7 linked regions of the Macaca mulatta genome follow. The protein of the gene in region 1 interacts with the protein of each later gene in a pairwise test. Links are inferred from orthologs where the notes say so. Each region holds a gene or a part of one and is shown in the gene's direction. Other genes may lie near its edges.

Region 1 (4,057 bases):
CCCGCCTCGACCTCCCAAAGTGCTGGGATTACAGGCGTGAGCCACCGCGCCCGGGCTAAAGTGACTTTTTTTGGAAAGTATGTTTCCTCATCATCTGAGTGAAAAAAAATTCACTGTAGGAGGGCCAAGAGATCACCAGATTAAGAACAGTGTTGAAACAATGGATCTTGTTCTAACTACACAAGTCTAAGATGGTACAGACTGGAGTCAACTTTGATTTTCCACAGCACAAATAAAGGTCATGGCTTCATATCTCAGCAATTGTCCGGAGTTTTAGTTTTTCCAGATTACACTGTGTGGGGTAGTCGGATTTAGGAAAACAAGACACAGTATCTGGAGAATAAAAACAATTATAACTCTGCAAGAACAAAATTCAAGAATCTGCCTTGAATTTTTGTAGCACTTGATGTTTCTTCAAGGTGTTTTCACGTAAACGTTGATTTTATCTATGTAACAGCCCTGTGAAGAAGGCAATTACTACTAGCAAAATCGTTTTCAAAATTTTAAATACCGAATCCATGAATAGGAAAAAGGACAGCGAAGTTGATAGCATTAGAGAAATGACAGAAAAGATCGTGAGGAAGCGATTCATAGAAATGGCAAACATAAAAAGCTGAGGCCCAGGGGTCCGCAAACCACAAGAGAAAGGGGCTAACCTGGCAGGGGAGAACGGCGTTAGTGGGGGAAGTGCAAAGAGGCAGGAGCGCAGGAAAGCTGGGGTTAGGAAACTGCAATTCACTGCAATAAAGAGGATGAGGTCAAATTTAAGAAAAATGAAGTCAGGTGGCATTGAAAACTGCGTGGAAGTTTGTGAGTTTTATTCCTGCCCTGATGAAGTGTGATCTTTCACAGAGGAGGATCCCAAGAGTGGAGGCTGTGCCCTCCTTCGGCCTCCCGTCAGCGGCAGAGGCAGAAAAGACTCGAGAAGTTCCCCAGGCCGATAACCTCCATGGGGACAGAGCCGAGATGAGTCCCGGAGGAAGCCAGCGGGAAGCCAGCAGAGCAGGGTGGTGCGTTCCCGCCGGACTAACAAAGGACGCCGGGAGGTGGGGGCTTCTCGAGTTGCTCCAGCGGTGGGCGGGCGGCGGAAGGGTTAACAGCACCACCACCTCCCGTGCGCATCCCGCTCCTACCCCCGCCGTCGCTAGGAGACGCCGGAAGTGGGGGAGGGGCCGGCGGCGCGGGCGAGGGTGGGAATCTTTTTCGGGCTCCCGGGGGCGGAGGGAGGGGAGCGCGCGTGCGCGCGCCCGGCCGGCCGTCGCCGCGGTGACCGTCCTCGCAGTCCGTCGGCTCGCGCCCCGCCCCCGTCGCCCCCTCCCCTGTCGCGCGCTGGGGCTGTTTCTCGCTCCTCCCGAGTTACCGCCGCCGTCGCCACCGCTCCTCCTCTCCCGGTCCTGGGTTTCTCTGGCGCTGCGGCCGCCGTTCCCTCTGCGAGCTGTGTGAGGAGGAGGAGGAGGAGGAGGATGTGAAGATGGCGGAGTTGCAGATGCTGCTGGAAGAGGAAATCCCGGGGGGCCGCCGGGCCCTCTTCGACAGCTACACGAATCTGGAACGGGTGGCCGATTACTGCGAGAACAACTACATCCAGGTGCGAGAGCATCCCCCGCTGGGGCGCGTCGGGCCTCAGGGGGCGGTGAGGAACGCGTAGGGGACCCCCCCATGGGGGGCCGCGCGCCTCGGGGTGTGGGGCCGAGGCCGCCGCGGGGACACGGCCCGGCGGAGTCCCCGATGGGGGTGGGGAGCTGGGTGAGGGCTGGGGCTGGTGAATGGGTGGGAATCCTCCGGCTGGAGAAACTGCATTTTTAAAACCTTTTTAAAAGCCGTGAAGCAGTCCTCGGCGCGGTGCGTGTGTCGCGTCCCGCCTCCTCGCCGCTGCTGCCCTCGGCCGCCCCCGCACTCCGCGCCGGTCAGCGTTCCGGATGGCAGAGGGGGCGGAGAGTGGCATTTTCTGTTTGACGGAATCCTGCTCCCTCTTAGGGTAGGGGTGTCGCTTGTATTGACGGGTTACTTCCATCCCCCACATTCTGGACGATTTTTAAGGGGCTATCTTGCTGCAGAGTGAAGTGCTTCAGGCTTCAGTTTTCTGTTCCTGTGAATGCTTCAGAAACCCTTTCTTAATATTTTATGTTCTAAAGGGGATACGGTAGAAGAGCAGCAGTCTCTTGTTGGAAGTTAATGCCATTTTTCTCCCTGTGGAGAAGGATGGTGAGCTGACTCCCCCCTCCCTCCTAGTCCCGTTAGAATAGGCAATTTTCCTGGGGGTGGGAAGAGGACGGACTATGACTGTTTCTTAGAATCGGGAAGATGAACCTCCTGTTTTTAAAATTTTTTTTTAATTATTATTTTTTACCGTGATGGATCGTTTGGCACAGGGGCTTATAGTGGTAGCGGCGTGTGTGTGGAGGCGGGGGATACTGGATGATACGAGATCCAGCTGCTCCTGGATGAAGCAAAATATTCTGTGGATTAAAGAAAAATCCTTCTTTAAACATTACTTGAAAGGATAGCAGGTTAAAATGCAGTTTGCAAAATCCAGCATCTTTTGCTTTTTTGTTAACGGTTATTTTGAATTATGGATTCTGCCTCCATTTTTTTTTCTTTCCTATTTAAATTCTCTTGGGATAAAGGTGGAAATGGAAGCAGTATGTTGAACTGTTTCTTCACAGTCCTTTTTTTTCCCCCCCCCCTGCTCCCACCTCCATCTCTCCAGGGATCTTTCTTTTTTCTTTTATTTTTGAGACACAATCTCGATCTGTAGCTCAGGTTGGAGTGCGGTGGCCCAATCTCGACTCACTGAAACCTCGGCCTCCTAGGTTTGCGCAAATTCTCGTGCTTCAGCTTCCCGAGTAGCTGGGACTACAGACGCCCGCCACCAGAGCCGGCTAATTTTTGTATTTTTAGTAAAGATGGGGTTTCACCATGTTGGCCAGACTGGTCTCGAACTCCTGACCTCAAGTGATCCACCCACCTCGGCCTTCCAAAGTGCTGGGATTATAGGCGTGAGGCACCTTTCTTAACGTTAGCTGTATAGGAAAGCATTTTCATGTTTTAGTGTAAATTTTAAGAAACTGGTGTTACAATTTTATAGGTTCATAAGTTTTGTAATGGCCACATTGTTGATCACGGAAGTGAGATTTTGTTTGATTAGACATACTATTATCTTGTAGACAACATTTGTATTTGAAAATGAACCACAGTATAAACCTGTTCCCTCAAGAGGCAGTTGAGTATGGCTACTAGGAAAGGAATGTAGGCAAGGTTAATACAAAAACATACAAATGTCCACTTGTAAGGTACTTTGCTGATATGAGTGGGGTAGAAAAGATTCAGAGGTTCAGGCCTGGGCGACAAGAGTAAAACTACATCTCAAAAAAAAAAAAAAAAAAAAAAGGTTCGGTTGCTCAATGTTTCTCTAAAATTGAAAGTCTTTTATGGCCTAGAACTGTGTGAGGGGTGGATGGTACATACCTAGTGTCTACAGAGTTTGATAGTCTAGTTAGTAGGAGAGGCTGATCTTGGAGGAAATTAATACCATGTAGTTAATTTACGCTCTGTAGTGCACTGCTGGTGCCAAGGAGGACTGGAGGAAGCAATGCTGTTCTGAGGGAATTCACAAACTCTAGTAGAGGCAAAACCTAAAGGACTGAAGTGGTAATTCCATTGCCTTGTGCAGCATATTATGGGGAAAGAGTTGCAGGTCAGAAGAGAAATTGAGGGTGGAAAAGTGGATTGCAATTATTACCAGTAAGAAATAAAAAATAAGCAGATTTCTCTCTCTTTTGCAAGATGGTTTTTTGTTGTAATTTGAAGGGACAAGTTCGTCTTAAGTTATAATTGCTATATAAAGGTAAAAGGATAAGGATTATTAAAGCTGAAAGGTTAAAGGGAGCAGCAGTTGTCTTTTTAAATATTATATACATTTCCTGCAGTTGAAAAGAGAAAAATGTCACTACTCTCAGTATCTGTTTTAGCAATGGGACTCAAAATTTAGTGTGGTGACATTTTATAATTTAAAACATAAATATTAATATTAATTTAATAGAAATGAACTTAGATT
Region 2 (3,500 bases), on another chromosome or scaffold:
GCAGTATAGGAAGGACTGGGGCCAGGGGTTCGGGGAGCTCCCTGAGAATTGGAATGAAGAAATGGGAAGCAGGAGACCTCCTGCCCCAAAGACCTCTCCAGCTGTGGTAACTGAGAGGATGTGTGGGATGGAGGCTGGGCGGCTCAGCAAGGGCTGCCTCATATCCTTACTTAAGCCCAGAATCTTGGCAAGAGGCTTGGGAGGTCCTTCTGAGTTTTAAAATGACCTCAGAGGCCACTCGTCCTATCTGTGGAGGTGAGGCCATGCAGGAAGGGAAACATTGTCTAAAGGCCCTTTTCCCTCCAGGCTGTGGAGTCGGGGGCCCTGGAGCTCAGTCCCTCCTTCCACCAGAAGAACTGGCAGCACTGGTTTTCCCATATTGGGTAAGGGTAGGGTAAGGGGAGCTCTCGTGGAGATGGGGCGGGGGGACCGACTGGTTATTCTAAGACTTCATGGATGTCCTCCCGGCAGGGACTGGTGTGTCTCCCGGCAGCTGTGGTGGGGCCATCAGATTCCAGCCTACCTGGTTGTAGAGGACCACGCGCAGGTGGGTAGGAAGAAGCACCCGGAGGGCCGGGTGTGGCGCAAAGCACCTAGCCCAGGAGTCAGAGCTCCGCAGTGCCAGGCCCTGCTCCTGCCTGGTAACGTGCTTCATGCTGTAGTCACGTACCCTTCTGTGCGATCAAAGCTCCCTGAAGTGGCGTTTCTTTATCTCACCACTGGAGGAACTTGGCCACTCTAAGACCACATGAGAGGATGTGAAAACAAAGGGACATTTGCACCTGTCAGCTGTTCTTCCTCACTCTCCCCGACTCCTTCCTACTTTTGCAGGGAGAAGAGGACTGTTGGGTGGTTGGGCGGTCAGAGGCTGAGGCCAGAGAGGTAGCAGCAGAACTGACAGGGAGGCCAGGGGCAGAGCTGGCCCTGGAGAGGGGTGAGTGCCTGAGCTGGGGAGGGATGCACAGGGGAGTGGGGTACTGGGCATCTGGGCCTTTGAGGGGAGCTGATCCTGAGATGGAGAAGGTAGGGTCAGGAAAGTTGGGAATGGAGCCAAAGGGGACAACCCTGGTCTCTGGGGGTGGAGGTTGGCCTAGAATGGTGGCAGCGGTGGTCTGAGGTCCTAGAAGCCAAGGTTCCAATTGTCCCCATTCTTTTTCTGTTTCCCAGACCCTGATGTCCTGGACACTTGGTTCTCTTCTGCCCTGTTCCCCTTTTCTGCCCTGGGCTGGCCCCAAGAGGTGAGGTGGGTTGAGAGGGCGAAAGTGAAGGGGAAACGATAAGGAAGGGACGGCTGGGCCCCCACAGAGGCTTGAGGGGGGCCCGGGACCTGGGCCTCTTACTGCTCCTCTTCCCCTTAGACCCCAGACCTTGCTCGTTTCTACCCGCTGTCACTTTTGGAAACGGGCAGTGACCTTCTGCTGTTCTGGGTGGGCCGCATGGTCATGTTGGGGACCCAGCTCACAGGGCGGCTGCCCTTCAGCAAGGTAACAGCCCTTCAGTGCCTGGCCGCTTTCTGTGACCCCAGTGTTCCCCAAACCTTGTCCTCCCTTCTGACCCCTAATGTCCTTTCCACGTTCCCGATTCCTTTTTCCCAATTCACTTGCCACCCTAGCCCCAAAAGTATGGAGGCCAGAGGGCCAGAGATCTCAAGGGAAGGAAACCCCCCTCTGCTGACCCCTCCCCGCCCCCAGGTGCTTCTTCATCCCATGGTTCGGGACAGGCAGGGCCGGAAGATGAGCAAGTCCCTGGGGAATGTGCTGGACCCAAGACACATCATCAGTGGGGCGGAGATGCAGGTGAGGACAAAGCACCCACTGGAGGGACAGGGTTTGTAGGAGAGAGGAAGGGAGGCTGAGGGAGGAGTGAGGCCAGCAAGTAGAGGCAGGGCCTTTGACCTGGGCTGTAAATTACCCCCTTCCATCCCCAGGTGCTGCAGGAAAAGCTGAGAAGTGGAAATTTGGACCCCGCGGAGCTGGCCATTGTGGCTGCAGCACAGGTGAGTCATCGCTGCCTGCCCCCTCCCAGCTCTAGCTCACCGCCTCTGGCTTCCTCTGCAACCCGGGTCCTGGCCCTGCAGCCACAAAGGCATCTGCCACCCTTCTTCCTCTGGTTGCAGAAAAAGGACTTTCCTCATGGGATCCCTGAGTGTGGGACAGATGCCCTGAGATTCACACTCTGCTCCCATGGAGTTCAGGGTAAGCCTGGGTGAGGGGTCTCGGGGTGAGCAGAGAGCAGCAGGCGCCTGTGCAGGGGCAAGGCAGGGGCAGGACTTCCAGTGCTGCCGCCACCTACATGCAGACTACCTTGATTCTCCCCTTCCAGGGGGCGACTTGCGCCTGTCAGTCTCTGAGGTCCAGAGCTGCCGACATTTCTGCAACAAGATCTGGAATGCTCTGCGCTTTATCCTCAATGCCTTAGGGGAGAAATTTGTGCCACAGCCTGCTAAGGAGGTAAGAGAAAGCAGAGGTGCTTGGGAGTAGGGTAGTCAGGTGTCAGAGGGCCAAGGTGGCATCTGGAAGGAGGCAGGGGAGGGGAGTCAGGCCGTCCTGGGCCTGAAGCCCTCTTTGCCTGTAGCTGTCTCCCTCCTGCCACATGGACGCCTGGATCCTGAGCCGCCTTGCCCTGACCGCCCGGGAGTGTGAGCGGGGCTTCCTCACCCGAGAGCTCTCGCTGGTCACTCACTCCCTGCACCACTTCTGGCTCCACAACCTCTGTGACGTCTACCTGGTGAGCGAGGCTGGGGGAGGCTTGGCATTCCCATGCCTGCTTCTAATTCCTCTGGAAATCCGATTCCAAGGCAGAGAGCTCTGGAGTTAATAATTCCCCAGTTATCCCCTCAAGTTAGGAAAGGAGAGGAGAGGAGATGAGGGAGTCTCAGTTCCCCTCTTCCTGGGACTGGTTTCGCAGTGCAGCCCAGGCACTGTTGCCTGCCTGTCACCTGGGGAGAAGAGGAGGAGGGAGACTTCTAGAAATGTCTCACAAGTCAGTGTCAGAAGGCAGAGGGGAATTTTTTCAGTCCCTGTAGTTGCTGAGTTTGGCCCATGGGCAGGCTGCGTGCTGAGAGAGGCCTGGGAGGGACTAACAGTGGTCTTTAGACCAAGGGTTCTCACGCTGTCCTACGTCCAAAGCACCTGGAGGGCTTGTGCCTCCAAAGCACATGGATCCTCCCGCCACCCCAGAGTGGCTCCTTCAGCAGGTTGGGGTGGGGGTGGGTGGGTGTCATGAATATTCATTTCTTGTCCCAAGTGGTGCTGCTGCTGCTGGCTGTGGACCACTGCCCTAGCTCAGCCTTTTAAAAACCTCTGTTCCGCCGGGCGCGGTGGCTCACGCCTGTAATCCCAGCACTTTGGGAGGCCGAGACGGGCGGATCACAAGGTCAGGAGACCGAGACCATCCTGGCGAACCCGGTGAAACCCCGTCTCTACTAAAAAATACAAAAAACTAGCCGGGTGAGGTGGCGGGCGCCTGTAGTCCCAGCTACTCGGGAGGCTGAGGCAGGA
Region 3 (3,500 bases), on another chromosome or scaffold:
TGAAGCACACCTACACCTCATGGGATCTTGAGGACATGGAAAAATACCGCATGCAGTCCATCCGGAGAGAGAGCCGTGCTCGGCAGAAGGTGAAAGGGCCTGTCATGTCCCAGTATGATAACATGACCCCGGCCGTGCAGGACGACTTGGGTGGGATCTATGTCATCCATCTGCGTAGTAAATCAGATCCTGGGAAAACTGGACTTCTGTCAGTGGCAGAAGGAAAGGAAGGCCGCCATGCAGCCAAGGCCATCAGTCCCGAGGGAGAGGACCGCTTCTACAGGAGGCATCCCGAGGCAGAGATGGACAGAGCCCACCACCACGGAGGCCATGGTAGCACGCAGCCGGAGAAGCCATCCCTGCCGCAGAAGCAGAGCAGCCTGAGGAGCAGGAAGCTTCCTGACATGGGCTGCAGTCTCCCTGAGCACAGGGCGCACCAGGAAGCAAGCCATAGGCAGTTCTGTGAGTCAAAGAATGGGCCCCCTTATCCCCAGGGAGCTGGCCAGTTAGATTATGGGTCCAAAGGGATTCCAGACACTTCTGAGCCAGTCAGCTACCATAACTCTGGAGTGAAATATGCTGCATCCGGGCAAGAATCTTTAAGACTGAACCACAAAGAGGTGAGGCTCTCCAAAGAGATGGAGCGACCTTGGGCTAGGCAGCCTTCTGCCCCAGAGAAACACTCCAGAGACTGCTACAAGGAGGAAGAACACCTCACTCAGTCAATGGTCCCACCCCCTAAACCAGAGAGGAGTCATAGCCTCAAACTCCATCACACCCAGAACGTGGAGAGGGACCCCAGTGTGCTGTACCAATACCAACCGCACGGCAAGCGCCAGAGCAGCGTGGCTGTTGTGTCTCAGTATGATAACCTGGAAGATTACCACCCCCTGCCTCAGCACCAGCGGGGAGGCTTTGCAGGGGGCGGCATGGGGACGTATGTGCCCCCCGGCTTTCCCCATCCGCAGAGCAGGACCTATGCTACAGCTTTGGGTCAAGGGGCCTTCCTGCCTACAGAGTGGTCCTTGCAGCATCCTGAAACACAGATCCATGCAGAATGAGCCCTGGAGCAATAGAGTTGAAGCAGCCTCTGCTGGACAGTGGACTGTTCTATTTTTTTCAATAACCAAAAAGATTAAAAAACAAAAAATACTATAAAACCCCTGGCCACATTTAAAAAAAGATAATAAAAGTAAACACATCACCATCTTTTTCCCCTTCCCTGCTTCATTACCACCTCTTCCATCTATAGACTTTGTCATTTTTGTCTTTAGAAAAGATCCGAAGGATGGTACAACCCCGTGCTGAAACCCAGTAGAGAAACCTGTCGCAGGACACAGATCTAGGGCTAGCTTGAAAGAGCCTGAGGACTGCCTTTCACTGAATTCGAATTCAGCGTTGTCCTTTCTTCTTAGTATTTGCTGCGTAATTGAGAGCAGCTCACACCGATGTCCTGGTAGCCTTCTGCATTCCCTGTTGTCTTCCTGCTTCTCCATCAGTAGCTGCACAACTTGCCCAGATTGACACACTCTTCTCACTTCACTCGCCCCATCTGAGAAGGAGCTTGTGTTCAGTTAGAGTCGTCGAAAAATCCCTGATCCTTCAAGATCAGTCAGTCAGACAGCAACATTATAATTAAAAATAAGAAATTAAGACTTTAAATTAAACATTTGGTAGAGTCATCATAAAACACCAGACCACTTAGACTCAGGCTGAACCATACTTTTTCTATTCTTATTTTCCATCCTTGTTCCTCACGGCTCAATGAATGGGCTCATATCATGACAGAAGGGATTTTTAAAAGTTAGTATTTAAGGAAACTTCTTAGGTGGAAGATAGTAAAGTTCTTATTGTCAGTGAACTTTGTTAGCACCAGAAAACTCTTATTGATGCTTTTAATGCATTGCCTGCCTTCAGGTTTTCTTCTTACCCCACCCCTCAATAATGTTTGGTGAATTGTAATTCTAGTAAAACATGTCATACCATTGGTTTTCCTAAATTATCAGCTTTCTTTCATTAAAAAAGCCCAGCATGGTTTGACTGGATAGACACACATAATTTATTATGAATATAAATTTCCGTGTTTGTTTCTGTTTCTAAACCTGAGTACAGGATCCCTGGGAATTTAAGTAGCTACAAATTATCTATTATTAGACTGCAAGTTCCTGCAATAACGGCTTAGTACACAGCCCCATTTCATCAGTGGAGTTCTGGGCAGTTATCATTGCTGTCCTAAGCCATTACTGTCATTTGCTTACTCTGTACTTGTGTGGTCACAGTCGTGTTGTAATTACCATCTACACCAGCATTTCAGGTATAGCTCTTTATAACTCTGGAGACATGTTAAACATGTTTAACACCTGCAGCTTTTGAAAGTTGCATTCCTTATTAGAGTAGGAACTCTCTAGCCCAGCTCCATTCTATGTTCTCAGCTCCCTCCACTCCACAAAATACATCAGACTAGCAAGGCAGTCCTATGTTTACAAAATGAGTTTAGATTGTCATTTCATTCCATAACTCTTAATAATACTCAAGTTTTATACATTCACATATTTTAAATGCTCAGTCTGTAGAAGACACTAGGAGAATTGCATTCCATTTATTGGATGGTTGCTGCTCTGGCTTTTTAGAACTTGAAATTTTTATTTAGAGCAGAGGAGGAAATCTTTTAAGAGGCTAAAATCATGCTGCTATTATTGCTGTGAAATTGTATAAAGATTAGGATTCATGCCAGTTTTTATTTTAAAAAATAATGTGCATTTTAAGGGTTTATATTTAGAAAAAGAAATAAAATGTTTTAAGAACAACACATTGATATGTGGGAATATTCTATAAGGTTTTCTTTTGTTCCCTTAGAATTCACTGGAGGGATGCAGTAAAAACCGTAGTAGAAACCTTGAAACTCCCATATGTGAAAAGGTCTGGAAATTGAGGCCTCTACATTAAAAGTGCAGACCCAACTGGTATGTAGTCAAAGTGCTAGGAAACTTGTTAGGATACTTCCCTTTGGCACAAAAATACCCTGGGTGCTACATACAGGAGTTTGACCTTTGGTGAATATGTGGCACTAATTTTTTTTACCTTAATCGTATTTTTGTCAAATAGGCAACCCATTGCCCCTTGGAGACCACACCAGCCCTGTAAGTTCTCACCAGCAGCATGGAGGTTAGGAAGAGGGGCTGCTGTGACCAGGAGATACACATGGCTTCAGTAACTGAGAGCCTGAAGGAAGTAACCCAGGGAGTCCGGTCCAGTTGTAATATTTGTGGATTTGTTGTCGCACACATTGTTTAGTCCTGAAACTAAAGCCTTTTTTATAAATAGTAGGGTTAATTCCTCAAAGCAATTTCTTTATTCATAAATGTCCTATGGGTTTAGAAATATCAGGTAAATATTTCGAATATAGAATGATGATTGCAATTACTGTTATAAGCGTGAAACACAAACTTTAGATCAAATCTAGAGTTACTTCATTTAATGCATGCTAGCAGCAGCCTTAA
Region 4 (4,297 bases), on another chromosome or scaffold:
ATGTTATTTGGGCCACTGAGAAACGGGGTCTGAACAGACCTCCAGGTCCTGCCCCATCCTGACCTGCAAAGTCTATACCAAGGACAGACTTCGGGAAACAGATAGGAGTGAGTGCATGACTTTCCTTTTTCCTTCAGTCATAGATTTGCATCACTAAGAAGGCTTTTATGAGGCTGAAGAGTACATTTTAGAGAGTTCCAATATAATAACAGAACTAGTGTTCACCAAGTTAGATCAATTCTACATTTAGCTCTTTTATCAGCCTCTTTGTTTCCATCTCTGTTATCACTACCTTCTCTTCCCCCATGACTGAGTCTCCTCAGAGGTCTCCTTGCCCCTTGTTCCCTCCAACATGTCATACAAGTCTTGATGACATCCCACTGTTCAGATTAAAATCCATTTAGGGCCTTACTATAACCCAAGATAAAATTTAAATGCTGTAAGTTGAGCCCCTACCTATTGTGCCAGCCCCTCTGTTGTCATCTCCTTCACATACCCTAAGCTACTGAATGCTTTCTAGGTGAGTCAAACTCTGATACCCTACAGGTCTTTGCATTTTTTGCACCTACCTGGAATGCTAGTTTCCCTGATCTCTGGTTAGGTGGACAATCAGGACTCATTCTTAAAATCCCGAAGTATTATTCCCAAGAGCCTTCTATGCCTCACCTAGACAGGCCTCTTTCCTCTTAACTTTCATGCCACTTTGAATATACTCAGACATACTGGTGTGATAGCAGGACATATTTGTATATCTGGTTCCTCACTAGATTGTGAGCTCCCTGAGGGCAAGGTTGTGTCTCTTAATGGTGTTACCATCTAGCACAGCACGTGATATGTTGAGAATCAGACTGATTAGGATAGAACTCCTAAACTTACTAGCTGTGTGACCTTGGGCATGTTACGTATAACCTTTCTGCCTCATGTTTTCATATCTGTAAAATATTGCTAATGAGTATAGTGCTTACAAGAATTATTGTAAAGACTAAATAGCAAAACTCTTGTGAGCTCCTGGTATATAGCTGGCACTCAGAATAGACATGGCTATAGAGTGCCCTCCATAAATATTTGTTGAATCAACTCGGCAGAACTAAGGAAGGGTACTATTACGCTGTATGCCTACTAGGTACCAAGCACTGTGCTAGAGAGGAGTGCAGTTTTCGTGGTCTAAATGGGAGTCTTAATTGTTGCCTTTTAGGGATATGGGTCCTGAGCTCCCAAATCGTTGGATGTGTGGTTCACCTGGGTGTTTGTTAAGAATGCAGTGCGACGTTGCCCTCTGTCGCTCGCTGATCGTAGCCCGAGGTCAAGCTTGGGCGCCCTCACAAAACCAGTACCACTCTGGTGTCTTCGACTTTGCTGGCTTCACCCTTCCCAAACCTGTTGTTTGCCGCTCGCGGCCCCACTGCACATTCTCAGCGGGCCGATGTGGCCCCGCCTACCTCGCGCCCACTGGGGGCGGAGCCTGCGGCGCATCGCTGACGTCACTTCCAGCGGACACGGAAGCGCCGTTGTCGGCAGATGTAGTTAGGAAGTCGTGATGGGTCAGCGTAAGCCTCTGGCCGACGTGGGCCGAGGGGGCCGGCCCGGGCTGTTGTGACCCAGACGAGCGGAGAGTGCGGAGCGGCATTTCGGCCAGCGCTGACGAGCCCTGGCAGTGCGCGCGCCTCTGGTGCCAGTGTCGCTCCGCCTCCGGGATAGAATCCGCCCCAGCCCTCTGGGCCTGGGACCCGGCGGCCGCTTTCTCCAGTCCTTCCCGCCGATCCGCATTAGGTCCGGGATAACTGGGTGGAGTAGGTGTGCGGCCCGCCGCCGGAGAGCCCGCTAGCTGTTTCTTTAAGCCCACCCCTGCGTCTTCGCGGCCCTCTCCCGTTCTGCCGGAAAGCTGACGTGGGGCAATCCGTTCAGAACCTCCATGGAGAAGTTTGGGATGAATTTCGGAGGCGGCCCGAGCAAGAAAGACTTGCTGGAGACTATAGAGACGCAGAAGAAGCAGCTTCTCCAGTATCAGGCACGGCTCAAGGATGTGGTCCGTGCCTATAAAAGCCTACTGAAGGAGAAAGAGGCGCTAGAGGCCAGCATCAAGGTGCTGTCGGTATCCCACGAGGCAGATGTGGGCCTCGTAGGTGTCCAGCTTCCAGGCCTCACATTTCCTGACTCTGTGGATGACCGGTGCTCCACTCACAGCGAGGATAGCACTGGGACCGCCACTAGCTTGGATACTGCGGCCAGTCTCACCAGCACCAAGGGTGAGTTTGGGGTAGAAGATGACAGACCGGCCCGGGGACCACCACCTCCAAAGTCCGAAGAGGCCAGTGGGTCCGAAAGTGGCGTTAGCAGTAGCAGTGGGGATGGGCCATTTGCAGTTGGGGAGGTGGACAAAAGACTGCACCAACTGAAGACTCAGTTGGCTACTTTGACTAGTTCTTTGGCCACAGTCACTCAGGAGAAGTCCCGCATGGAGGCTTCTTACGTGGCTGACAAGAAGAAGATGAAACAGGACTTAGAGGATGCCAGTAACAAGGCGGAGGAGGAGAGGGCCCGCCTGGAGGGAGAATTGAAGGGGCTGCAGGAGCAAATAGCAGAAACCAAAGCCCGACTTATCACACAGCAGCATGATCGGGCCCAAGAGCAGAGTGACCATGCCTTGATGCTGCGTGAGCTCCAGAAGCTGCTGCAGGAGGAGAGGACCCAGCGCCAGGACTTGGAGCTTAGGTTAGAAGAGACCCGAGAAGCCCTGGCAGGACGAGCATATGCAGCTGAACAGATGGAAGGATTTGAACTGCAGACCAAGCAGCTGACCCGTGAGGTGGAGGAGCTGAAAAGTGAACTGCAGGTCATTCGAGATGAGAAGAATCAGCCAGACCCCCGGCTGCAAGAACTTCAGGAAGAGGCTGCCCGCCTTAAGAGCCATTTCCAGGCTCAGTTACAGCAGGAAATGAGAAAGGTAATTATCCACATCTTTTTCAAACATCAGTCATTGACCTGAAGTGAGAACTATTAGGGTTTTTTTCCTCCTTTGCTAGTTAGAGCTAAGTGTCTACAGTGTCATTTTTGATGCTGCCTGAGAAGTTCCACTAGAGAACCTGGGAAGTCCTGTTCTATGTGGTGTTGACGTGTGTGCTTCCAGGAGGATGTGGAGCTTCTCAGTGGAGGCTGGGTTGAAGCCAGACAGCTCTGCACTTCTGGGCATTGGCATCTTACCAGCTGTGGTCTATGAAGCAGTATAGCAGCATCTGTACAGTAAAAGGTAATGTGTCCAGTAAAAGGTAGTGTGTCCAAATGTTCTCTTGGTATGTGCTTCTAGGGAGGGTGGCTGAAGGCAAAGGGGATTTTCTCAGAAGTAACCTCTTGTCATTGCCTTTACTCAAGATTTACCTGTTTTGGAGAAGTGCTATACCAGAACAGGTATTGAAAGGGTGCCTCCTTTCAGTGTGGAGAGGGAAATCCGGCTCAGTTTTGAACTTCCAGGAATATTGGATAAGGAAAAGAATGTTGTATGATTTCTTAATAGGATTTGAGGAAGCACCAGAAAAACAACAGTAACACACATTACATGTGAGTTAGGTGGAAAGCAGAACAATAGCAGATATACCAAGGTGCTTAATATTGTTCGGTATATGTGTTTTGCAGAACCCAAGCAGGTAATAGGAACTTTTGTTAGCTCCTGAAGCAACCGAAAAATCCCTAGTTCACATTCTTGCCAGGCCATCCCAAACCTGTGACCCTTTTGCTCCCCTCTCCTTCGAAACCAGGAACTGGTTTCTCGAAGTTTGCTGTGGGGCTTTTGTGGATGCATTTTTGTCTGTTCCCTTGTTTTCCAGACAGCTCTTGCAGAGGATCAACTCCGTCAGCAATCTCAGGTGGAAGAACAGAGGGTGGCAGCCCTGGAAAATCAAATATCCGAGGTGTCTGAGCTGCTAGGCACCTATGAGAAAGCCAAGCAGAAGGACCAGCTGGCCATTCAAAAGCTGAAGGAGCGCATTCTGCAGCTGGACCTGGAGAACAAGACACTGGCTCTAGCAGCCTCCAGCAGGTCCCCTTTAGACAGCCATGGAGAGGAATCCAGTCTGGATGTCAATGTCCTGAAGGATAAGATGGAGAGGCTGAAGAGGTTGCTGCAGGTTGCAGCCAGGAAAAGCCAGGTGACCCTGGATGTGGAGAAGCTCTGTGACCTGGAGATAATGCCTAGCTCGGAGGCTGCTGATGGGGAGAAGGCTACTGCACTCTATTACCAACAGGAGCTGAAACAGCTGAAGGAAGAGTTTGAGAGGTACAAGATGAGGGCCCAGGTCGTCCT
Region 5 (3,500 bases), on another chromosome or scaffold:
ATGCTGACACCGCTTTAGGAATTTAAATTCATTTGGCCATGAATTTATTTTATTTTTTATTTTATTTTTTTTGAAATGTTTTATTTCCACAGGGTTTTGGGGAACAAGTAGTATTTGGTTACATGAGTAAGTTCTTTGGTGGTGATTCGTGAGATTTTGGTGTACCCATCTCCTGAGCAGTATACATTGAACCCAATTTGTAGTCTTTTTTTTGTGAGACGGAGTTTTACTCTTTCGCCACGCTAGAGTGCAGTGGTGTGATCTCAGCTCACTGCAACCTCCAGCTGCCTGGTTCAAGCAATTCTGCCTCAGCCTCCCGAGTAGCTGGGATCACAGGCATGCACCACCACACCCAGCTAATGTTTGTATTTTTAGTAGAGACAGGGTTTCACCATGTTGGCCAGGATGATCTCCATCCCCTGATCTCGTGATCCACCCGCCTTGGCCTCCCAAAGTGCTGGGATTACAGGCGTGAGCCACCGTGCCTGGCTTAATTTGTAGTCTTTTATCCCTCACCCCGTTCACCCTTTCCCCAAGTCCCCAAAGTCCATTGTGTCATTCTTACGCCTTTGCATCCTCATAGCTTAGCTTCCGCTTATGAGTGAAAACACAAGATGTTTGGTTTTCCATTCTTGAGTTACTTCACTTAGAATAGTAGTCTCCAATTCCAACCAGGTTGCTGCGAATGCCATTAATTCATTCCTTTTTATGGCTGAGTCATATTCCATTATATATATATGTACCAGTTTCTTTATCTACTTGTTGATTGGTGGGCATTTGGGTTGGTTCCACATTTTTGCAGTTGTGAATTGTGCTACTGTAAACTTGTGTGAGCAAATATCTTTTTCATAAAATGATTTCTTTTGTGTTTTTTTTTTGAGATGAAGTCTCGCTTTGTTGCCAGGCTGGAGTACAGTGGCGTGATCTTGGCTCACTGCAACCTCTGCCTCCGGGGTTCAAGCAATTCTCCTGCCTCAGCCTCCCAAGTAGCTGGGACTACGGGCATGCACCACCACGCCCAGCTAACTTTTGTATTTTTAGTAGGCACGGGGTTTCACCATGATGGCCAGGATAGTCTCAATCTCTTGACCTCATGATCCGCCTGCCTTGGCCTCCCAAAGTGCTGGGTTTACAGGCGTGAGCCACCGCACCCAGCCATGACTTCTTTTCTTCTGGGTAGATACCCAGTAGTGGGATTGCTGGATCAAATGGTGGTTGTACTTTTAGTTTTCTAAGGAATCTCCACACTGTTTTCCATAGTGGTTGTACAATTACATTTGGCCATGAATTCAGCTGACACTTGTCAAATGTCTGTTGAATATCATGCTTGTGCTAGGTGCTGGGCTTACCCTAGTACAGCAGACAGCCTCTGTCTTTAGTACAGCAGAAAAGGCAGATGGGAAATAAGGTAGTGAACAAATAAAGGCAGGATGCACACCAGGTACAGTGATAGAAAACTGCAGGAGCGACCTCCTTGGAATGGGGGTTAGGACAGAGGTCTTAGAGGTGACATTGAAACTGTGATCAGAGGGTGAGAGATGTCAGCTCATGAATAGAAGCCTATAGGTGGGAAAGCACTTGATACCTAGGAAGAGACCCTTGTGACCCTAAAGCAGCTCTGCCAGGTGGGCGGGCACTGCCTACGAGACCAAGGCCTCAGTTCGAGAGGAGAGTCACGAGAACAAGGAAGAAGCAGGCTCAGGTCTGGCCAGCATGGTGACTGGCCTGATGGTTTCCTCTGATCGGATTTCCATGCTGTTGCATTTTTATTTCTGATTCTAGAGAGGTGGGCGGTGGTGGTGTTCTTTGAAACCAATCAGTGTAATTAACCAGCCTGTCCTCTGCCTTTCTCCCATAGGTTGATATGGGAAGTCTGGATGCCTTTTGTTCGAAATATTGTCACTCAGTGGCAGCCAAGGAACTGTGACCCGATGGTGGACTTTTTGGATAGTTGGGTGCACATCATTCCTGTGTGGATCTTAGATAACATACTGGACCAACTCATCTTCCCCAAGCTGCAAAAGGAGGTGGGGTGAGAGTCACAGGAACAACTGTCATCACTAACCACAGGGACTTGTTCAGTCTATGTCTTCATTATCTCAGTGCTGTTAAAACGCCTGGAATTAACAGAATTTGTCAACACAACTGTTGACCTAGAGTGTTAATTCCAGCCTTTTTCTCAGCACTTTTCCCCCCAAGCCACCCTCAGGAGGGAATTCATTTTCTTGATTTCTTCACTAAAATTAGAATTATGCTATTTCTGAGAGGTAATCAAATGAATGGGCATATTTGTTTGGCGATGTACAAAGGACCATGGGCCTTGGAGAGCATGGGGCCTCCTCCAGGGGCAGCTCTTGCCTTTAACCACACGGGTGTTATGTGACTGCCCAATAGGCGACATGAACTGTTTCTTCTGTTTCTTCTCCCCACATTGCAGGTGGAAAACTGGAACCCGCTCACAGACACTGTTCCCATCCACTCTTGGATCCACCCATGGTTGCCCCTTATGCAGGCACGGCTGGAGCCGCTCTATTCCCCCATCCGTAGCAAGCTGTCCAGTGCCCTGCAGAAGTGGCACCCCAGTGACTCCTCTGCCAAGCTTATCCTCCAGCCCTGGAAGGATGTCTTCACTCCTGGCTCCTGGGAAGCATTCATGGTCAAAAACATAGTGCCCAAGCTGGGTAAGGATATGGGGAAAATGCAGTCCAGGCCCAGCAGCTTTGGTGCCCTGGTTTCTGTGGTCAGTGGTGATTTAAAGCATAGCCTTTGTATTCATGAAAGTGCTTAGTACACAATATTCCTTGCTGTTCAGAGGCTGAACATAAATGTAACTTGGGTCCTTTCCGCTGTTTGTTTACAACAGCGACTAATAGTTGACAGTAACAACATCGGACTCTGTGCCTTGTGGTTTTCCTGATTGGCTTTGGCTTCTGGTAACAGGACAGCCATTGGAGTTCTGAAATTTTTGTGGTATTTTATTCTAAATTATTAGGGAGTTATTTCTGGTTTAGCAAAAAAAACACACATATATATATATAATTTTTTTTAAGAATTGCTATGTCAGGAGCTTAAATTTGACCTTTAAAGCAGATTAAAGCCTGAGCAACATGGTTAAACCCCGTCTCTACCAAAAATACAAAAACTAGCCAGGTGTGGTGGCATGTGCCTGTGGTCCCAGCTACTAGGGAGGATGGCTTGAACCTGGGAGGCAGAGGTTGCAGTGAGCTGAGATCTGCCATTGCACTCCAGCCTGGGCAACGGTGAGACCCTGTCTCAAAAAAAAAAAAAAAAAAAAAACCGCCAGGAGCCGTGACTCATGCCTGTAATCCCAGCACTTTGGGAGGCTGAGGTGGCAGATCACCTGAGATCAGGAGTTTGAGACCAGCCTGGGCAACATGGCAAAACCCTGTCTCTAATAAAAACACAAAAATTAGCCGGCCGCGGTGGTGCACACCTGTACTCCCAGCTACTTAGGAGGCTGAGGCACAAGAGTCACTTGA
Region 6 (4,238 bases), on another chromosome or scaffold:
CCAGTGCCCTCCAGCCTGGGCGACAGAGGGAGACTGTATCTCAAAAAAAAAAAAAAAAGAAAGAAAAAAGAAATTAAGTCTACCCCTTCTCCCAGACAACTCAGCCTCAGGAGACACACTGAGAAACAATGATAACCTCTGAGGATCAGGGTTCAAGATCTCCCAGAGTGGGGTGGAGAAGGGGAGGGTAATTAATGTCAGAGCTTGGCCTGTAAGGAGGAAGTGCTCTCCAGGTAAAGGAGGTCAGGAAAACATCCGGACATGGGACTCGGCTTGGAAATACGCTGGAAAAGTGGATTCTCTCACCTAGTCAGCTGGCCCTGAGAATTGTTGGTTTTACACTCAGATCTTGGTGGCTTTCCGGGTTCTGGGGGCTCAGGCAAGAGGGTCATAGGCCAGATTCATTCCCTGTCTCCAGGCCTCAGTTTACCCATGTGTAAACGTGAAACTGATTTCCCAGGGCCTCACCCGGGCCCTCACCCGGGCCAGGTGGCGCTCTACCCAAGGGGCGCGACCACATCAGTGACGTCACTCGGGGCGTGGCCGGCAAGACACGCTGCGGAAGCCTCGGAGGGTGTCTGGGCTCAGCCTGGAGCCGGCGTGTGGGGGCGGGGGCTCCGGGGAGGGTCTCCTCACCTCCGGGCCCTCCTGAGGGCTGGGATGATCCTGCTGTCCTCCGCAGGCGAAACTGAGTCAGAGCGGGGCGTACGTGGGTCGGAGGCTTTACATACCCAAGAAGCCGGCGCCTCCTGCCCACCTCGGGCGAATGCCAGGCCCCCAACTCCGGCACTCCTCGCCAGTCCCCACCTCCACCCCCACCCCACCCCCGACCCTGCGGCTGTGAGTCAGCGGCCGACCGCGCCCCCTTGGCCCACTTCCTCCTCACCTTCCCGGGGCGGGCGGGGTGGGGTGAGAGGGGTGGGGCCCTACTCCCCCCCACCTCCCCTCCCGCGCGGGTGGGGGGCTCGCCCCCTTAGTAACCCCTCCGAAATTGACAGAAGAGAGACGCTGGGGAGGGGCGGGGTTCCGAAGATGGAATTTCAGGGAGAAAATCTGAGACCACTTGCTTAACTAACTGGAGGGTCCTCTTCGACCCCCAAAATTGAGCGGAGTACGAGATGGAGAAGTCGATGGGGAAAGAAATCGTGCCCCTTCCGAGACGCTCCTGAGAATTCCCACAGTGGAAGCGAACTAGGGAGCAAGGGAGGTCGCCTTCCCCTTCACCAAGCTTGCCCCTCCATGTGGTGGTGACTCCCAGGGTGCACCCCTGGACGATAACGTTGGGGAGAGCAGCAAGATCGCGGAAGCAGAGGGTGCCGAGTTGCCCTTTTAAGCGCCCTCCACCCCCTCGCCTGGAGGCGCGCGCGGCCCCTTTAAGGCGCGGGGCATTGTGGGTGCGGGGAGTGGAATTTTGGAACGAAATGTAACGAAGAGAAGTACAGTAGTAAGAGTAACAGTGTAGCCGCCGCCGGCAAGGGGGGCGCGTCGGGGAGCAGACGCCGCATCCCCTTTCTGCCGCAGGGACCTCTCATCAGATCGCCTGAGGGAAGCGGCGCCCGGAGACCCGCCCCGGCCCGGTCCACGTTCTACCCAGGAAGCCGGACTCTATGGGGCGGGACCCTGGGGGAGCCTGAGTCGAGCCCGGAGCCAGCCCCGAACCCCTGAACCTCCAGCCAGGGGCGCCCCGGGAGCAGCCAGTCCGTGGGCGCGCCGCCCGCCCGCAGATCAGCCATGAGGTGAGCCGGACCTGCCCCCCGACCCGTCCCCGCCCGGGCGGGCTCCGCGCCCCGCCTTTGTCCCCCTCCCCCCAAGCTCGCTCCGGGCTGGAATTTGGGGACAGATCCTTGGGAGCCTCGGATTTGGGCTGAATCCCCTAGGACAAGCCCCAAAACCGTCGATCACTTCTCCACGACTGACTTCCCAAGCTCGGGGGGTGGTGGCGGTGAGGTTCCCCTGGGAGCCCTCAAGATTTGGGGACGCTCGGAGGACTCCCGAATTGTTAAGACTTTTTTTCAGAGGACCTCAAAGTTGGCAGCGACTCCCCGCAGGGATGCCAGGATTGAGGCAGGGCTCAGACTTTCCTCCCCCTCCCCCCAAACTTCAGCTCGAGGTCGGGGAAGGATTGTGGGGGACTGGTTTGGGAGACCCTGGGACTTGGAAGAGAGACTGAGACTCAGACCCTTGGTGTGCAGGGACCCCGTTTACGTGGTGCTGGAAAAAGTCTCCCCAAGTGAGACCGCGCTCCTGAACTTCGGGGGTACTTCTTAATCCCCTAAATTTTGGGGGGCACTTAGGTCTTCCTGTGGAAGAGGCTGGTATGAACCGATCCAGGGACCCGGACGCAGCCTCCGGAGTCTGGTGGGATTCCCCTCCCCCGTCGCTCCGCACGCAATCTGCTTAACAGGCAGTGCCTAGGACAGAGCGGGCGCTCGGAGCAGAGGGCGGCTCCCTGCCCCGGGCCATAAGGGCGGCCCGGCTCCCCCACCTGCGCGGCCCTGGGGAGGGAGGGGACGCAGCAGCTGGGGGAAGGGGGCCTTTGTCTTCCTGACTCACCTGTCGAGACAGCTGGTGTGGGGGGCGGGCACCGAGCGCTGTGGGCCGGCTGCCTTCCCCACCACGGCGCCTCCCCCTTTGCTCGCCGCCCCCCCCATCCATCCGGAGCCTTGGGGTTGGAGGAAGGGGAGCTGGAAAGCTTCAAGGTCATAGCCCTCTTCCCTAGGGACCCAGGCTTCCCAGATAATTCCAGCTATCTTCCCAGGAATTTAATCCTGGGGGCGGCGGCCCAAGGGACCCAGGGATTTGGTCTGGCCGGGGCCTCCCCCGAACTCCTGGACTCACCTGAGGGCGGGGCCAGTGTGGGCAGGGGGACCCAACCATCCTCCCATTCTCCCCTCCCCTGGCCCCCCATAATCTCTCCCATGGGGCCAGAGCCTGACAATACTATCTCCCTTCCTCCACTCTCTCTGGGACTTCCTGCCCCAAAGCCCCCAGCCTTAGCAGGGAGGCCCCTGGGGACGGCTGGGGATTAACCCCGTGGTGCCCACATCCCCTGCATTTCCTGAACCCCTGCCCTTTGACATCGGAGTGGAGTGGCGTTCCTTTTTATGACCACTAGAGAATTCCCCTCCCGCGTTTGTTCCTTCTGATGTGAAAGGCATGGCTGGAAAATTTGGAGCAAGGAGGACACCCACAGATACCCTCAAGACTTCCTGCCTATCCTATCCGCTCCCCATTATAGCAACATCCCTTCCAAGTCCGCCCTGGAGAGGGGTCAGTTTAGGGAGCGTCGCTCTCTTCCTTCGCCCTCTTCCTCCGGGACTCTTCTCTCCCCTTGCCCCCCAGCCCCGCCCCTCCACCCCCCTCGCGTTTCCGGTCCCAGGCTCAGTGGAAGGCGGATGGCGGATGTCCGAGTTAGTGCTGCCTCACTCACTGCAACCGTAAAAGGGCAGGAGTGGTGTCTGGGCCGGCCCCCTGCCCTCCCCACCACCACCACCACCACCACCAGCAGCCCTGGAAGCCCTGGCCCTCCCACAGGGCCCACCTCTTGCTGGGGCGGTGATCAAGCATCCCACCTTGTGGGGGTGCTGGGGTGGGGTGCAGTGCAGAAGTGACCAGATGCCTGTCCCACCAGAAGGCCACTCCCACCTTTCCAGGGGTCTCCCCTGCAGGTGGTCACACCCGACTTACTGGGCTGTGCCTCTTCTCCAAGGACAGCCAGGATTCAAAACCCATGCCCCTATTACCCAGCTGGGGAAACTGAGGCTCAAAGAGAAAAAGACATGGCCAAGATCCCTCAGAAATTCCTAGGCAATGTTGGAGGGGTGGAGGAACCTAGGATCCTCTGATTTCTGGCTGGTTTGGCTGGGGGACAGTCCTGGGGGCAGTTGGAAGAGAGGATGTTAAGATGGAAAATTACAAGATATAGTTCTTTTTCTCCCAATTTGACAAATATTTGTTGAGTGTCGGCTGTGTCCCGGACTGGAGCTGGGGTGCTGGGAAGACAGAGAAGCGAGGCAGAGGTCTAGAATCTCAGGGCAGAAGGGACTTGGGGAGAATTGGGGTCTATTTCTTTCTTCCAATAATAGCTATTTTTATTTTTTTTTAAATAAGAGACCATTTGATCAAGCATCTATTTTATGTGGGGCATTTTTGTGCCTGACAGCAATTCTGGGTTGTTTTTTTTTTTTTTTTTTTGCTCTTGTTGCCCAGGCTGGAGTGAAATGGCGCGATCTTGGCTC
Region 7 (4,173 bases), on another chromosome or scaffold:
CATCCTGTTTAACAACCACACTTATGTTCTTTTCTAATTATAAAGCTAACTATTGACTTAATAATGCTTCTGGCCAGGCACGGTGGCTCACGCCTGTAATCCCAGCACTTTGGGAGGCCAAGGTGGGCAGATCATGAGGTCAAGAGATCGAGACCATCCTGGCTAACACGGTGAAACCCCGTCTCTACTGAAAATACAAAAAAATTAGCTGGGTGAGGTGGCGGGCCCCTGTAATCCCAGCTACTCGGGAGGCTGAGGCAGGAGAATGGCGTGAACCCAGGAGGCAGAGCTTGCAGTGAGCCGAGATCGCAGCCACTGCACTCCAGCCTGGGCGACAGATAGAGACTGCATCTCAAAAATCAATCAATAAATAAATAATGCTTCTACACACTTTGATCATGTGTTAGCATATGAAACTCTTGGCTGAGACCAACTTACTATAAAACGTGTGTAATTTAAATAGTATAATTTTCCAATGACTTTAATCTAACAATCTCCTCCTACCCCATTAATCAACACAAAAAGCAATTCATCTTTGAATATATGTGTAAAGAACATAGTTCATGTGTTTATAAAAAGTTCTTCTCTGCTACAGAGTTTAGCTGTGACATCTATTAACAAAGTAATTTATAACTCTAATAAGTTAGCAAGGTCTTCTTGCTACCAGTCCAGTCATTGGTGGTGAGTGCTCAGTACTGGCTGATGAATACATGAATGGATAAAAATGTAAGAGCTGTCCACACATATACCATAAAATGCATAAAGTAGATCCCGTTTTATCTCAATTTTTATTTCTGTGATATAACTGAGATAAAATCAAACACAATGTATTATTTTAAAGTATACTGTTCATAAGAGAGAAATAATGTGATCTGACCTTATTTTAGAAGAAAGTTGTCTGTAAAAAAATTTAAACTCAAAAGTAAAAAAGCCACTGGTTTCTAAAAGCTCAAAAAAAAATTTTTAAGTGATTGGCTTTCAGAACAACAGCAACAACAAATAAGCCTCTAAAATAAGACAAGTAAATTCCAATTTTTTATTTTTGCATTTACTTGCTTGCTTGCTTTAATTATATACAAATCTCAATTCCATTAAAGTATCAGGATGACAATTAATTAGATGTTTTTAGTGACTTTTCCAATCCCTTCTAATTAACTTGATTAAGGAAGTGATTTACTTGCTTCATGGGAGGTGTGAATTCTCAGCCAGGGGGTTTGAATGAAGGGAAGCAAGTGACTCAGGCATTTATTGGGTGCTTACAATCAGATTCCCACTGGTGAGATCACGCCCATGTGTCTGGAGGTCCACACGCAAGCAGCTGCCTCCAGCCCAACCCTGGATGCTGAGTGTAGTCCCAAGGCCCCGCCTGCCCCACTTCCTATACATACAGCCACTCCTGCTGTGATTGTGGGGACATACAAGGAAGATCAGGCTTCCGTGGAAGCTTCTGCAATTAAAATCCACTGGGGATTCTAGAAGGAGCACCTGTAAGTAGATTCCGGATGGATGGGGCAGAGTCTGTCTCATGGTGGGTGTTAAGCTGGCCTTATACAAAAGAGGAGACCCATCCTGGTACCATGCCAGGTGCAAAGCACTGTGCGATTTATTGTAAGTGTCTTGGTAACAGGGCTTGAAGCCAGGCAGTGACTAGAAACCTAAAATGCATTATTTAGTCATAGAACATTAGAAATAGAAAGAAAATAACCTCCCAAATCATCTAGTCCATCATTCAGCTAAATTCATTTAATTCATATCCCCAAACTACATCTCCAAATGTACAATGGTTTCATTCCTGGTTTAGGGATTTGAGGTTTTGTGTCTGTACAAAATATATTAATAGTCTTATAAAATAATATGTCCAAAACAGAATAAACTTAAAAGCCAAACACAAGTAAAGCATGAAACAGAGGTTCTGAAGAGCAACTCCTCAATACAAATAAACCATTGTCCTTTATCTCCATTGTGACTTTCAGTTATGTAGGCACATCTGCCTTTTTACATACCTAAATTATACATGAGGATTATAAATATTCTTTATGTGTATGTTAGGATGAAAAAAACCTGCCAAGGCAGGTGCACGGGCTAAAAGAACACACCTTCCTGTTTCCTTTTGTTACCTGTTTAATTAAAAAAAAAAAAAGTTGCCCCTGATAAAAGCCTCCAATAAATGCCTCTAGTGCTATTTTCTGGAATTGAATTAAACATATTAACATATTGTTATACAAAGGGGGGGGCGTGGAAGCAAGGCAAGGTGGACCGTGGTGCCAATCCTAGTGACATGTCAGCAGAGGAGGAGTTTCTTGCCTGTGGACTTCATAAAAGGCTAGCTCAACACCCTCCATGAGACACACTCTGCCCCAACCATCCTGAAGCTACAGGTGCTCCCTCCTGGAATCTGCAATGGATTTCAGTCGCAGAAGCTTCCACAGAAGCCTCAGCAACTCCTTGCAGGCCTCTGTAGTCAGTACAGTGGGCACGCAGCGCCTCGGGATGACACCCAGCGTTTATGGGGGTGCTGGAGGCCGAGGCATCCGCATCTCCAACTCCAGACACACGGTGAACTATGGGAGCGACCTCACCGGCGGCGGGGACCTGTTTGTTGGCAATGAGAAAATGGCCATGCAGAACCTAAATGACCGTCTAGCGAGCTACCTAGAAAAGGTGCGGACCCTGGAGCAGTCCAACTCCAGACTTGAAGTGCAGATCAAGCAGTGGTACGAAACCAACGCCCCGAGGGCTGGTCGTGACTACAGCGCGTATTACAAACAAATTGAAGAGCTGCGAAATCAGGTGAGAGATGACGCCTGTGTTTCCTAGTCTGTGTTTAACTGAAAGTTAAATCAAGAGGTTATCTATGTTAGGCAGGTCCAAATGGACGTTGTAAAGACAATTAGGCTAAAATGTTACATCTACAAAAATTCTTTCATCTACCTTTAGACTGTATAATAGGATGACCTTAAATCATGCTATTTTTAATGTTTAATATAATTATATACAAAATATGAACATTTTATCCTCCGGAATAAAATAAATCTTTGTCACAGCTTACCACATCAGGGCTAAATGTATAGTGAGCAATCTTTCTGAAAAGAGCTAAAAATTAATTATGTGATAAATCTCTCTTAGTTTTTCATCTAGTCCTCAAGTTTTGAAACCCCAGTCAATTCAAAGACTTTTCTCCTTTTATTTAAGTAAATATTATAAGGTATGACCATTAGAATACTGTACTGCAGATTTAAATAACAAAGTGATTCTGGGTGGAAACAGTGTGGCAGGAATATGGGTCTTAATGATGCCTGGATTTTTAAGTGCCCTGTTTAATAACATGACCATCAGCATCAAGCAGTTCAGAAACTAATTCTACAGTAATAAAATATTCTATTGCCCCCAATTCATGTTTATTGCAATCATATCACAACCTCCTCCTATGTCATCAAAAAAAGGGTGGAGCTCTGTATTTTATCAGTTGCATGGAATAAAAGCAGAAGACTTTGCTCCTAATTGAAAATTTCATATATGACACAGAGCACTTGCTTCGAATTAAAGCTCTTATCTAATCAAGAGAAGTGTTCACTGTCATTTCTGTGTTAAGATTCATTCATATTCCTTTAGAGTAAAGCCCATTTACTTACCAGCAAGTCTATTTTTCTTGAGTTGTGCTAAACATCAGAGCAATTTGATTCGGACTCTATGGGAAGTTGCTTTGGAATTTTAGAAACTATGGGCGTGTGAAGCAATGGTATTTAAATTGCCCTTCCGGAATAAAGTTCCTCCTTCTTAGGCTCTCACTAAAAATGTTCGAACCACACCTGTCTCATGTTTCTGACTCTACTTTGGCTCATCTCAAATACACAGGCACAGGCCATCCGTCCCATTGAGCTGGACAGTCCCAACCGTAGGGAGCAGCCCTCTCCAAAACTGGATCCATTGAAAGAGAAATGTCATTGCAACATCCTCTGCAAGTAGATTTTTCATCTATATGCATCCATCATGCATTTAGTTCTTTTATGTATCATGTTCTTTCATTCAGCCAATACTGAATGACACTACCTAGGTGCTGGGCACCATGCTAGGCACTGAGGAATAGTATGGTGGACACAATGTGATTTATGAGGAAACAGGGATGGACAGAGGGACCAGCACACAGAGGGATAATGAGAGCACAGGCAGATC

What was found.
Region 2: the proteins of ABI2 (region 1) and VARS2 interact in binary tests that used the Homo sapiens proteins (3 or more experiments, as listed by UniProt). The link is inferred for Macaca mulatta from reciprocal best matches to the Homo sapiens genes ABI2 and VARS2.
Region 3: the proteins of ABI2 (region 1) and ARHGAP32 interact in binary tests that used the Homo sapiens proteins (3 or more experiments, as listed by UniProt). The link is inferred for Macaca mulatta from reciprocal best matches to the Homo sapiens genes ABI2 and ARHGAP32.
Region 4: the proteins of ABI2 (region 1) and GCC1 interact in binary tests that used the Homo sapiens proteins (3 or more experiments, as listed by UniProt). The link is inferred for Macaca mulatta from reciprocal best matches to the Homo sapiens genes ABI2 and GCC1.
Region 5: the proteins of ABI2 (region 1) and TFIP11 interact in binary tests that used the Homo sapiens proteins (3 or more experiments, as listed by UniProt). The link is inferred for Macaca mulatta from reciprocal best matches to the Homo sapiens genes ABI2 and TFIP11.
Region 6: the proteins of ABI2 (region 1) and VASP interact in binary tests that used the Homo sapiens proteins (3 or more experiments, as listed by UniProt). The link is inferred for Macaca mulatta from reciprocal best matches to the Homo sapiens genes ABI2 and VASP.
Region 7: the proteins of ABI2 (region 1) and KRT20 interact in binary tests that used the Homo sapiens proteins (3 or more experiments, as listed by UniProt). The link is inferred for Macaca mulatta from reciprocal best matches to the Homo sapiens genes ABI2 and KRT20.

Annotation. Positions count from the first base shown.
Region 1 is NC_133417.1:108,554,709-108,558,765, forward strand, and holds the start of ABI2 (abl interactor 2), read left to right. Parts: upstream 1-1,257; 5' UTR 1,258-1,471; coding exon 1,472-1,588; intron 1,589-4,057. UniProt on the Homo sapiens protein: Regulator of actin cytoskeleton dynamics underlying cell motility and adhesion. Functions as a component of the WAVE complex, which activates actin nucleating machinery Arp2/3 to drive lamellipodia formation.
Region 2 is NC_133409.1:152,131,930-152,135,429, reverse strand, and holds part of VARS2 (valine--tRNA ligase, mitochondrial), read left to right. Parts: intron 1-306; coding exon 307-383; intron 384-471; coding exon 472-547; intron 548-831; coding exon 832-934; intron 935-1,167; coding exon 1,168-1,238; intron 1,239-1,358; coding exon 1,359-1,484; intron 1,485-1,691; coding exon 1,692-1,796; intron 1,797-1,927; coding exon 1,928-1,996; intron 1,997-2,116; coding exon 2,117-2,195; intron 2,196-2,322; coding exon 2,323-2,450; intron 2,451-2,574; coding exon 2,575-2,727; intron 2,728-3,500. UniProt on the Homo sapiens protein: Catalyzes the attachment of valine to tRNA(Val) in a two-step reaction: valine is first activated by ATP to form Val-AMP and then transferred to the acceptor end of tRNA(Val).
Region 3 is NC_133419.1:129,329,624-129,333,123, reverse strand, and holds part of ARHGAP32 (rho GTPase-activating protein 32), read left to right. Parts: coding exon 1-1,061; 3' UTR 1,062-3,500. UniProt on the Homo sapiens protein: GTPase-activating protein (GAP) promoting GTP hydrolysis on RHOA, CDC42 and RAC1 small GTPases. May be involved in the differentiation of neuronal cells during the formation of neurite extensions.
Region 4 is NC_133408.1:167,434,214-167,438,510, reverse strand, and holds the start of GCC1 (GRIP and coiled-coil domain-containing protein 1), read left to right. Parts: upstream 1-1,497; 5' UTR 1,498-1,912; coding exon 1,913-2,944; intron 2,945-3,821; coding exon 3,822-4,297. UniProt on the Homo sapiens protein: Probably involved in maintaining Golgi structure.
Region 5 is NC_133415.1:25,059,231-25,062,730, forward strand, and holds part of TFIP11 (tuftelin-interacting protein 11), read left to right. Parts: intron 1-1,858; coding exon 1,859-2,027; intron 2,028-2,437; coding exon 2,438-2,681; intron 2,682-3,500. UniProt on the Homo sapiens protein: Involved in pre-mRNA splicing, specifically in spliceosome disassembly during late-stage splicing events. Intron turnover seems to proceed through reactions in two lariat-intron associated complexes termed Intron Large (IL) and Intron Small (IS).
Region 6 is NC_133424.1:58,036,574-58,040,811, forward strand, and holds the start of VASP (vasodilator-stimulated phosphoprotein), read left to right. Parts: upstream 1-1,438; 5' UTR 1,439-1,731; coding exon 1,732-1,736; intron 1,737-4,238. UniProt on the Homo sapiens protein: Ena/VASP proteins are actin-associated proteins involved in a range of processes dependent on cytoskeleton remodeling and cell polarity such as axon guidance, lamellipodial and filopodial dynamics, platelet activation and cell migration.
Region 7 is NC_133421.1:65,266,522-65,270,694, reverse strand, and holds the start of KRT20 (keratin, type I cytoskeletal 20), read left to right. Parts: upstream 1-1,373; 5' UTR 1,374-2,400; coding exon 2,401-2,790; intron 2,791-4,173. UniProt on the Homo sapiens protein: Plays a significant role in maintaining keratin filament organization in intestinal epithelia. When phosphorylated, plays a role in the secretion of mucin in the small intestine.